Linked DNA regions of Coturnix japonica. The protein of the gene in region 1 purifies or fractionates together with the protein of each later gene. This does not show direct contact. Links are inferred from orthologs where the notes say so. Each region holds a gene or a part of one and is shown on either strand. Other genes may lie near its edges. The genes, in order: SMURF1, STK38 and SMAD6.

What was found.
Region 2: the proteins of SMURF1 (region 1) and STK38 purify together in Homo sapiens (affinity purification with western blotting; 3 studies listed by BioGRID, with this or other methods). This does not show direct contact. The link is inferred for Coturnix japonica from reciprocal best matches to the Homo sapiens genes SMURF1 and STK38.
Region 3: the proteins of SMURF1 (region 1) and SMAD6 purify together in Homo sapiens (affinity purification with western blotting; 4 studies listed by BioGRID). This does not show direct contact. The link is inferred for Coturnix japonica from reciprocal best matches to the Homo sapiens genes SMURF1 and SMAD6.

The regions. Positions count from the first base shown.
Region 1 is NC_029529.1:4,322,446-4,326,090, reverse strand, and holds part of SMURF1 (E3 ubiquitin-protein ligase SMURF1), read left to right. Parts: intron 1-83; coding exon 84-221; intron 222-580; coding exon 581-701; intron 702-2,174; coding exon 2,175-2,376; intron 2,377-3,171; coding exon 3,172-3,256; intron 3,257-3,645. UniProt on the Homo sapiens protein: E3 ubiquitin-protein ligase that acts as a negative regulator of BMP signaling pathway. Mediates ubiquitination and degradation of SMAD1 and SMAD5, 2 receptor-regulated SMADs specific for the BMP pathway.
Region 2 is NC_029541.1:1,920,036-1,923,680, reverse strand, and holds part of STK38 (serine/threonine-protein kinase 38), read left to right. Parts: intron 1-312; coding exon 313-408; intron 409-636; coding exon 637-731; intron 732-931; coding exon 932-1,062; 3' UTR 1,063-3,645. UniProt on the Homo sapiens protein: Serine/threonine-protein kinase that acts as a negative regulator of MAP3K1/2 signaling. Converts MAP3K2 from its phosphorylated form to its non-phosphorylated form and inhibits autophosphorylation of MAP3K2.
Region 3 is NC_029525.1:16,930,398-16,934,565, forward strand, and holds the start of SMAD6 (mothers against decapentaplegic homolog 6), read left to right. Parts: upstream 1-1,326; 5' UTR 1,327-1,620; coding exon 1,621-2,242; intron 2,243-3,983; coding exon 3,984-4,040; intron 4,041-4,168. UniProt on the Homo sapiens protein: Transforming growth factor-beta superfamily receptors signaling occurs through the Smad family of intracellular mediators. SMAD6 is an inhibitory Smad (i-Smad) that negatively regulates signaling downstream of type I transforming growth factor-beta.

The DNA.
Region 1 (3,645 bases):
GTGTGTTCAAATAACAAGCTGTCAGCATTGCCACTGCAAGTGATCAAAAATACAACGTTTACCTTCTGTCTTTCATTTGTTAGAGAGAACGATATCACCCCGGTTCTGGACCATACTTTCTGTGTGGAACACAATGCTTTTGGGAGGATTTTACAGCACGAACTCAAACCGAACGGCAGGAACATTCCAGTGACAGAAGAGAACAAGAAAGAATATGTCAGGTATTGCAGAACATATCCTGCAAATGTAGTGGAAGGAAGGCAGTGAACACGTTGCTTCTTTTTATATGGTGTAACTAATGGTATGGGTATTTCAGAGGGAAATACCTGATTCATAAATTACGTGTTTTCATGCAATGTAATGTAGTAAAGCCTGGGAAGAAGAAGTTGTAAGTTGTACATTGTGTTGTCTGTTGATGGTATAATAATTAACTGTCGATAGCAAAAGGAATTAATAATCATTTCTTTCATAAAATGTCTTTTAAAACTAATTCCTCTGTAAAATGAACTTTTTCCAGCCTTGCTCAAAAAAGCCCATTCTTATCCAGCTTATCACTCTGACCTTTTTTGCCTTCCCCCAGGTTGTATGTGAACTGGCGATTTATGAGAGGCATAGAAGCACAGTTCTTGGCTCTGCAGAAAGGTTTTAATGAACTCATTCCCCAACATCTCCTCAAGCCTTTTGACCAGAAGGAGCTTGAGGTATACATCTTAACCTCTTGGAATATTAGTTTGTAATTTGTACATTCTAAACTCAAGCACTGATTTGAAAGTAAATAACAATACAGTTTATTACAGTTTCTATACTAGAAGGTTATGCGTTTGTTAAACAGAAAACTTTGTTTTATTCTAGATGTGCTTTGGGTTAGTGTTAGTGAGAGGACTGCTCAGACAGGGGAGATGAATACACCGTGCTGTGTAACCAATCACTAATGCTCAGAGCAGGTGGTCTGGGCAGAGAGAGGGAGAATTGCAAGCCTGAAGAGCTGCTGGCAAGACCTAACCTGTTATGTGCCCCAGAACTTGTTTTCTTCAATAACTATTTTAATACGTCTGTTTCTATAGACACATAAGTCATGGTTTACAGCAGCTAAAGTATAAGTGAGAGAGCACATAGAAAATGAATTAGTTTATCTTTGCATTTAATCCTGAGGTACAGAGTTCTGCACCGTTTTTCTTTCTGATTTTTGTTTATTATTTTAAAGAAGGCAGTGGACTATTTGGAGCATTGGAAGAAGTAGTTTAATGGAAGTAGTTTGTGCAGACCAGTTGTTCACACGAAGTTACTGTGTTCCATGAGTTAGTTGTTTAAAAAGGCAGATTGTAAATCCAATTAATATTTCAATTCTTTCCAAATTAGGATAGTTACAACAGCCCTAATACTGTAAGTTAGTCTAAGTGGGTACTATCTTGGTGTCACAAAAAGACAGCTGCTAAATGGCAGCTCTTAGAATGGAATTCTCAATATGGAATATTGTGGGAAATTTAGAATATGACACACATTTTGTTTTGAGTGATGATGTCTCCTGTATGCCATTTGTTTGTCGTTGCCAGGGTAGCTGGTTAGATTCATGGCCAATAATGACTTCCTCTTTCAATATTTTGCAACCTGGTTTCATCTGGAAAAGAGATTGAAGTAATCTGTCTAGTCTTTGTCAGACACTCTCATAAACAACATCAAAAAACAGCTGCTAAGTTTTTGTATTTAATGGTTAGTTATGGACAATAGACCAATTAGGCTGTAACCATAAACTGAGCAGCACTTTCTTGTAGTGGGTTATTAGCAGCTCTAGGACAAAGCCAGATCAGGAAAATGATTTCTGTGTCAACTCAGTGGATGGCATGCCTTCATCCAAGTCTGTGCTGTGTCCTCACAAAGATTCACTGTACTTTTCAGGTGGGGTAGATTTAAAAAGCAGGTCTTGAATGGGCATTTGAATCTGATTTCTTCTGAAAATTCCAGTTCTGGTGCAATCCTCGGCTTCAGTTTCATTGCAGATTAACTGGGGAGATTTACTTCCTGTTCTAAACTGTTTTGGAGGGTTACTGTGTACCAGGAAGGTGGCTCGAGTGCATAAAGAATGCTGGGCATTGTGAAATAATTCAATGTATGTTTTCATAGCTGCAAAACTGAAATGACTTTGAATGTTAAAGCATTTTCTAATCCATTAACAGCTAATCATAGGAGGCCTGGATAAGATAGACCTGAATGACTGGAAGTCAAACACACGCCTAAAGCACTGCATGGCAGATAGCAATATTGTGAAGTGGTTCTGGCAAGCGGTGGAAACATTTGATGAAGAAAGAAGGGCAAGGCTTTTGCAGTTTGTGACAGGTTCAACGCGTGTCCCACTTCAAGGTTTCAAGGCTTTACAAGGTGACTGATGTGGAGGCTGAGTTAACATGCAGTGGGAGGAAGACTGTGTGGAATTTATTGGGCCCTTCTGGAATATCAGCAATATCAATACTGGATAACTCGATCACTTGCAAGCTTTTCATCCTAAGAGCAGTTCTACGTTTATCAGTGGCTGCTGGTGACCACTTTAGCTGTTGCTAACAAGTCATGCAAGCTGGACAATCTGTCCTCACGTAGCACTTAGGCTGCTGTCAGTACTGGCTTATCAGTCTCTTACAGTTCTGTGGACTGATGTTGTTAGTATCACTGCATAAGAGCATGTACGTGATTATAGAGCAGACTGAGCAGTTCTTTTACATGAGAAGTGTATCCCCATTGATGCTTGGCAGCAGACCATTAGACTGAAACAACTTCCTGAAAGTTGCAGTTTTGGTTGTCATAAAAGGTAGCAGTGTCCTAGACTTGTGGTTCTTCTAATAGCATTGCTTGTGTTAGCTGACAGCAAACTGATCTTCAGAATTGGAATGCATAGTTCTGTTTTGCAAGAAAAGTCTTCTTACTTTTGAGACTTTTCAATATAACTATGTGAAGTTTAACCACGTTCCAAAATACTGCTCTGCAAGTTTGTTGTCATTAAGAGACCCATCATTTCTATTATCTCTTCACCAGCTGCAAATCTGATCTGCAGACAGGCTATAGCACACTTGTATCTGCACCTGGAACTGTGATTTTCTCTTGCCTTTTTATAAATAGCAAAATACGTGTGCATTAATGCTATTTTGTTGAAGTGCATTAACTAGAATGTCTGTTTGTAAGGTTCTACAGGCGCTGCAGGACCCAGACTGTTTACCATCCATTTAATAGATGCAAACACAGACAACCTTCCAAAAGCCCACACTTGGTAAGATGAAATGTTCCACTTGTCAGTGTGTACTTTCCCTTTGTCTTAAAGTAGCCATCTTAGTCCTGGCTATGGATTAACCCGTGTGAGGTGCTTAGATGAATCCAAGTATGTTCTGCTAGCTTGGAAATACCTGTACTCTGCAGCCAGCAAAATAGTTGACTGAAGTTCTTATTGCTTGATGCTTGGCTTATGTCTTCTGTTCTACCTGTGGTTTTTGTCTGCCCTGAGATCAATTATTCTGAATAGTGAGATGTTAATGTCCACATATTCAGCAAAAGTATTCACTGATAAATTACTCATAGCAATGAATCTTCATTGAGGATTAGAAAGAGTAGTTTTTAGATGTAAAGTATAAGAAAAGTGCTGTTTGATACAAAACTGAGCTC
Region 2 (3,645 bases), on another chromosome or scaffold:
ATGCATGCAACTCTTCCATGTTTATGTAAACACCTGATATTTTCAAGCACTAACCCATTTTCAGGATGAAAAATATCAGTGTGTAGCTTTTAGGCTTTATATGTTCTTTGTTGTGTGGAGGAGGACCACATCTGACCCGCAGCATTTGATGTGACGTTGCTAAGTGTAACTTCATGCTGTTGTCTTTGAAATGGGAATCTTCAGCCTCTTTATATGTTGTGAAACCGGTGCTGTCAGTTTGGAAAGCCATTCCATTTCTGGATGGGATGCTTTCATTTTTTCCCTTCATTTTCATTCTTCCTTCCATCCCAGATTTTGCTGTGAATGGGAGCACAGAATTGGTGCATCTGGTGTGGAGGAAATAAAGAGTAATCCATTCTTTGAAGGGGTTGATTGGGAGCATATAAGGTAAGATGCTTTATAGAAGAACTCGCTGCTAGTCCTGCTGAGCATCACCGAGCAGCTTGGCTGCCATTTTTCATGCTTAGATATGGGTGAGAGTATTTTGGGCTGTATCTGAAGCTTGCTAAGGTCTGGGTGCCATTGGTCCTTGAATCTGTTCAGTAATGGGAAGTGTTTGAATTCTGCTTTCTTCTGCTTTTGAAACCTTAATGTTCAATCTGTTCTTCTTGGCAGGGAGAGACCTGCTGCAATTTCAATAGAAATTAAAAGCATCGACGATACCTCAAACTTTGATGAATTTCCAGAGTCTGACATCCTGAAGCCAACAGGTAAATGCTTTGTGTATGTATATGTCCCATGTGTTTACAAAGCATGCCACTGCAGCTGTTGATTTGGAGCAAATAATGATATAGAGTGCTTAAATCTGTATGTCTTTATAAGCTTCCTCTCCTGCCTGCAGTGCTTGGTACGTGCTGGGGGGAAACACTGCATTTCCAAACGATGACTTGTTTTCCTACTGTCTTCTCAGTGGCAACAAGCAACCACCCGGAGACGGACTACAAGAACAAGGACTGGGTTTTCATCAATTACACCTATAAGCGTTTTGAGGGCCTGACAGCCCGAGGAGCAATACCATCCTATATGAAAGCAGGGAAGTAATTAAGCTTTACCTGGGACAGCTTCTGAGCCGTGGATTTCTCTTTTTGTAACTTTTTTGGGTTTTTACCCATAAATGAACTTTTTTTTTTTAAACATGAAGTTACTTTTTTAAAGACAACTCGAGGGCTGTTACCTCTTGGAGGAGACTTCAGGATGCTGTTCTGTTACACTCTATGGCTGTTACAGAGGATTTGCTCTTTCTTGCACCATTGCAAACTCCCACAGACCACATGCCATCACTGCTGCAAGTGCTGCTTCAGGAGCAACAAGGGTCACAGTTTCCTTTCTAAACTCTTCACCAGATTTGTCCAGTCCTTTGGGAGATAGAAGCAGGCCTTCATGTGACATTGCAGAGCGTGTGATGTCCACATGGGCCCTTCACCAGTCCTGCATTGAGTGATAAACTCAACCTGCCAGTTCTATCAGCGTTTTCCTGGTTGCAAAGGGCTTCAGTACAGAGGAGACAAAGCAATAATTAAAGCTCGAGGCAGGCAAGCTATCTAGGAGGAGACAACTTGTATTGCCTTAACTTTACTTTGTAGTGGTGGGTATCCTTTTTCTTTCCTAAACGATGCTACTTGGAAGCCTCTTCAGCAGCATTTCTCAGCTCCGTAGCAGTGGCCTCAAGTTGCAGAGCACTTTACTTTTGGTACTAAAGCAGCGACCCCCTCAAAGCCATTTAGTGTTTTCTTTTCCTAAATTAAAAGCAATTGCACAACGCTTTTTCTTTTCCAGACAGTGCTAAGAGAAATGGGGAGCTTCTTCCACCAGGCACCACCAGTTCTCGGTTCTTATAGGACGCATCTATAAGCAATGTGGATAATGAAGACTACAGCTGGATCCAGAGTTAGTGCAGAGAGATGGAGGTTAAAACAGCAGTGGTGGGTGTGTGGGTCCAGCTGGGTTGGCCATGGGCTTCATGCTGCTGCCATCTGTTGGCTGTTTTGAGACGGGCATCTTCATCGGTGGTTAAAAGCATCTTCTGTGGCCTTTTTGCTCTTGGTTTGGAGCAGAAGCAGCTTGTCCCTGTGGTCTCCAAAAGACACAGTGCCTCGCAGGGTCAGTAGGCTGTGGGTCCAACCACCCCAAACTCACATTCTCGCCTTGTGTCATTTATACAAGTTCTGATCAGGCTGCTCTCTAGGAGAGCCCCAAAGTGCCTTTCCTTGTCTGAACATCTCTGGACCCACACCCGCATTTTGGGAGGGAGGATTCAGCCCCATCTGAGTTTTAGGTAATGTCTTGTTACCAATCACAAGCTCCATATTGGCCCTGTTCTGCACTTAGCTCTGCACTTCCAGTGACAGGCAGCGTTACCCTTTGGGTTTGCTTGGTACCAGCCTTGTAATTTGCAATTAGATGTTTGTAATGAGGTCTCTAAAAGCATTGATCAGTTAGAACTGTCTTCGGGTTGTTAAACCTTTGTTGGTGCTGAACACTAATGGCATAGCATGGCCAGAAAAGCTATTTAGAAACAAAATAGAGCAGTGTTCCAAAGCAATAGGAAGGCTCTGTTACGCTTAGTCCTTACTTTCTAGATTAGGATACGAAAGAAAATAGGGTTTGTTGTGAATTTGTTTTAATAGGTGCTTTTAAGGACTCTTCACTTTGATGTCTTTTGAACTGAGTGCCATTGTGAGGGCCTGACTGTGGGACTGGAAGTTGTCTGTATGTAGTTAAGACTGGGTGGTGACTTGCTGCATCCTCTCCCCAACCACCCCTTGTGCTTTTGGGATGCGTCCCAGGGGTTGAACTATTTGCCATAAGCAGCTTAGATACCAGTTGGATCCTAGAGAAGCTGAAATGCAAGGACAGCCTTAATCCAAGCACTGCAGGCAATAGAAATTACTTGTGAATAAGGGCTAACTGAAGTCACGATCAGATTGTCCTGCCCTCATCCTGCAGTTTATTTGGAACCATTGGGAAAATGTTGCCTTATAAACCACAAGGAAAGTGAGAGGTATCAATACTTAGATATTCCCAACAGCTTAAGTTACTGCCTTAACACTTCAGAAAGCAAAACCCTTTGAAGCTGCAGGGGATGAGGATAAAGGATTTGGGGGCAGTAGTGGCATTGTTAGCCCTTTACTAAAGGGACAGATGGACATTTTATGTATAAATACCAAAGATAAGAGAAGCTGGACCACTCTTAAGTTGTGACAACTTGCTGCGAGAACCTCTATAATAATAATTGTTATACATTTTTAGTACTTGTGTTTTAAAGTCTGAAACCTCAGTTTTGAGATAAAGCTTTTATAAGGCATTAAGGAACAGTCGGGTACCTCATTTCTGTGCCTTTCAGGAGGAGCCACAGGGCTGCATAGAATCCTCTGAAAGCCTTGGACATCCCTTTCTGCTGGTAGGTTTTGTATCACAGTCACACCTGTATCATTGTTCCATCTCTATTAGCCAAACCTTTGTATTAGCTGCTGGTCTATGGCTTGAGCTCATGTACATCTGTTTTCAAGCTGCTAAGCAGGGCTGTGTTTGTTGACTGCATTTCTTTTTACCCAGCTGGACTTCTAGGAAAGATCCTAATCTGAATTTCCAATGCATCTGAACTTGAACTGTGCTGCCACTTCC
Region 3 (4,168 bases), on another chromosome or scaffold:
CAGTGCAACCTCCTCCTTCCCATTGCAACCCCTGGAGTCCGTTCACATCACGCTGCAACCGTTTGCAACTCTCGGCATCCCTGTGCATCCCGCTGAAACCCCTTGCATCCCTGTGCAACCTTTTGCATCCCATTGCATCCCATTGCAACCCATTGCATCCCTTTGCGTCACACCGCGATCCCCTGCAACCTCTGGCGTCTTTTTGCGTCCCTTTGCATCTCATTGCATCCTTAGATCCCTTTGCATCCCCATTGCAACCCTCCGTATCACTTCGCATCCCTTTGCATCTCATTGCATCCCTTTAAACCCCTTTGCATCCCCATTGCAACCCTCCGTATCACTTCGCATCCCTTTGCATCTCATTGCATCCCTTTAAACCCCTTTGCATCCCTTTGCATCCTCCCGTATCTCTTCGCATCCCTTTAACCCCCCCTCAGCCCTGCAGCCCCACACAGACGGGCACTAGGACCCAGCGCGGCGCCGCCGGGCTCCGTTCATTCACGGGCACGCCGCTCCGCGCGGAGGGGGCGGGGCCAACGCGGCCAACGAGCCAATAGGAAGCGGCGAGAGCGCGCGTCACGCGGCGGCCGACCAATGAGAGCGCTCCGGGCCTGAACTTTTGCCACGGCGGACAAGTTGATACATCGCGGGGGCGTGTCCCGCCGCGGCGTCTCCCGCGGGGGGAGCGGCATTAACCCTTTCGCCGCCGCGGCGCCGCCGTGACCTACTTTCCTCTGGCGGCCGCCGCGGGTAAAGCGTCGTCGGGGAACGCGGCGCCTTTAAGAGCCCGGCAACCCGAGCCGCTGTTTGCGCAACAATCGGTGCCGCGCGGAGCCGCCAAAGTGTCTAGACTGGCACATGATGGGCGGCAGCCAATCGCGCCGCCGCTCGCGAGGGGCCCTGCGTGCGCGCCGCGGACACACAAAAGCTGCGCGAGGGCGGGCGGCGCAGCGCGGCACGGCGGGCCCGGGGCGGGCGCGCGGCGCAGCGCAGAGAGACACAGAGAGAACAGGGAGAGCAGCGGAGTGAGCGGGACACGGCGGAGCGGAGCGGGGCTGAGCGGCGTCTCAACGGGCTTCTCCTCATTCGCCTTGTGATCCTCCTTTCCTCGGCTTCGTTTTGCTGCTCCTGTTGGGTTTTGTGTATTTTTTTTTATTTTATTTTTTAATTCGCCTTTTTCATTTTTTTTCCTTTTTATTTTCTTATTTTTTATTATTATTATTTTTGAGGATTTTTTCCCCCGCTTCTCCTCTTCCATTATTCCATTTTTCCGCCCTCATCGCCGCCTCCTTTTTAATTTTCTCCCCCGTCGTTTTCCCCCCCCCCCCCCCCTCCCGCTTTTCTTTTTCCTTCCCCCGTTTTATGCCCGGGCGCTGCCCCCCGGCCGGCCCCCCCGTCCCCATGGCTCCCTGAGCCCCCCCCTATGCCCCCCGCCTATGCCCTCCCCGCTGGGCGCTCCCCATCCCCTCCGCCGCCGCCTTCCCCCATGGTGCGGCCCCGCCGCGGGCCGGGCGCTGCGGGCGGCTCCGGGGGCGGCGGCTCCGGGGGCGGAGGCGGCGGACGGGCGATGAGGAGATAGAGGCGCGGAGCGGAGCGAGCCCCGGGCCGCCCTCGTATCGTATGTTCAGGTCCAAACGCTCAGGGCTGGTGCGGCGGCTTTGGAGGAGCCGCGTTATCCCGGAGAGGGACGGAGGAGATGGGAACGGCCAAAGCTCGGAGCGGAACGCGACGGCGGTGACGGCCGAGGGACAGCGCATGGCACAGCCCAGCCGGGCGCAGGAGGGCGAGGGCCGCCCGGTGCGCTGCTGCCTGTTCGCGGAGCGGCCCGGCCCGGAGCCGCCTCCTCCTCCTCCACCCCCTCCTCCTCCCGGCGGCGCCTCTCCCCTCGGGCCGGGCGGAGGCGAAGCGCGGTCGCGGTTGGTGCTGCTGGAGCGGGAGCTGAAGGCCGTCACCTACGCGCTGCTGAAGCGGCTCAAGGAGCGCTCCCTGCACAGCCTGCTGCAGGCGGTGGAGTCTCGCGGCGGCACCCCGGGCGGCTGCGTGCTGGTGGCCCGCGGGGAGCTGAGACTGGGGGGCGGCCAGGCGGCCCCCCCGCACCTGCTGCTGGGGAAGCTGTTCCGCTGGCCAGACCTGCAGCACCCCGCCGAGCTCAAGGCCCTGTGCGAGTGTCAGAGCTTCGGGGCGGCCGACGGCCCCACCGTGTGCTGCAATCCGTACCACTTCAGCCGGCTCTGTGGGCCAGGTGAGCGTTGGGGCGGGGGGGGGGGATGGATTCCTGTTCGTTTGGGGGTCGGGAGCGTCGCCACGTGCTTCGTTTAGGGCTGTAGGAAATGGGTTCTCCCTCCCCCCACACCCTGTTTGGGGCCGTGGGGATTGGGTTCCTCAGCCTCTCATCGGGGCTGGGGGAGATGTGGGACCCAGCATTATGGGGCCAGGAGGGTGAGGTTACCGTGTTTGGGCTTTGGGTTCGTGGGGAAGGGGATGTTCCGTTTGGGGCTGGGGGAGATAGAGGGACCTTGTTTTTCTCAGCCCCAAACTGGAGGGACCCCAGATCTGGGGACCTGCGGGAAAGGTCCCCGAGTTTGGGACGGGGTGGGTAAGGAGGGAGGATATTGCCCTGTTTGGGGTTTGGTTTGGGTAACTGGGGGAGATGAGGCTCCCCTGTTTGGGAATGTGGGGAGGAACATGGGGAGAGTTTGGGCCTGGAGGAGATGAGGTTCCCCGCTTTGGGGGCATGGAGAGCGGACCCCTCCGTGTTTGGGGCTGGGGCGGTCAGGGACGGACTCCCCACGTTTGATGTCGGAGATGCGGTCCCTGCAGTTCTGAGGGCTGAGGGGATCCCCAAACTCGGGGTGAAGGAAGCGGAATCCTGGAATCCCCGCTGCTCGGGACGATGCTCGGGGCTCGGCTGCGGTCAGGGAATGCCTTAACGCGAGCTGCGTTCCCAGCGCTACTTTTTCTTCCAGGAGGAAAAAAAAAAGAAAAAATCCTTTGTTTAGTTCTCTTTAATTTTACGTATATTTTTTCCCCTTATTTTTCCCTTCCCTTTTTCTTCCTCTCCCCCTCCCCCCCGGGTTCCCCCGCCATGCGGGGCCGCCCCCCGCCGCCTGCCCGCCGCCGGCGCCAGCCTGGCTCCCGCCTGGCTCCGCTTATCGCGCCCGGGCGGTCCCCGCCGCGCCTTAAAGCCGCAGCGCCCCGGGGCCGTGGGGCCGCAGCTCGGCCTTGCGTGGGGCTCCGCTTTTATGAACTTGTTTTTTTTCTCCCCGATCTGAACGCCCCGAACGACCTTCCTCCGCGTCCCTTCATTTTTTTTCTTTTAATTATTATTTAAAATTCCTTTTCCAACGCGCTGTCCCCTCCTGTCTTTGCATCGTTTGCTTGAAAGAAACTTCTGTGCTCCTGGAGCAGGAGTGTGTCGCTTTGATTTCGGCAGCCACCGAACTTTCCGAGCTGTTTTCCTGCAGCGGTTGTTGTGCGGTGTCCCATGCACAGCTTCTGCTGCATCCACTTTTTGGGGGGGCTGTTGAGCCCTTCAAAGCACCTTGCAGCCCGCAGGGCTCTCAGTGCACGGCCCCGGAGGAGTGCGGTGTTTTTGGGAAGCAGTAGGTGGCTGCAGAGCAGCGCGGGGGGATGCTGAGGTCGTTGTTAGGGCTGTAACTCGGAGCAGTGTGTGTGTGGGGGGGTGTTCTGAGCTGCAGCAGAGCCGCTGTGTGCACAGTGCTGGGGGTTGCACAGTGCTGGGGGTTGCACGGAGCTCAGGTGGTGCATCTCAGCAAGTTGCAGTTGTGGAAATAAAAACACTGGAGGACCTTGACCCGGTGTACAGCCCCGAGTTATGGCTGGCAGCAGCGGCCCTGCAATGCGTGGCAGCACCGCGCTGCTGAGCTGTGCAGTGGGGTGGGACACGGTGGGGGCACCTCGGGGCTCGGAGGGCTTTGCTGGTGGCCCATCCGCAGTGCTAACACACAGCTCTGTTTTCCCAGAGTCTCCGCCACCTCCCTACTCCCGGCTGTCTCCTAACGACGAGCAAAAGCCACTGGGTAAGTGCTGCGCTCCTTCCTGCCCCGCGTGGTCGGGCTGTCGGGGCTGCTCCTTGTTCCTGGGCAGGCGTCAGCTGAGGAGCTTTGTGAAATTAATGAAGGCCGTTTATCACAGCAAATTGCCGTGC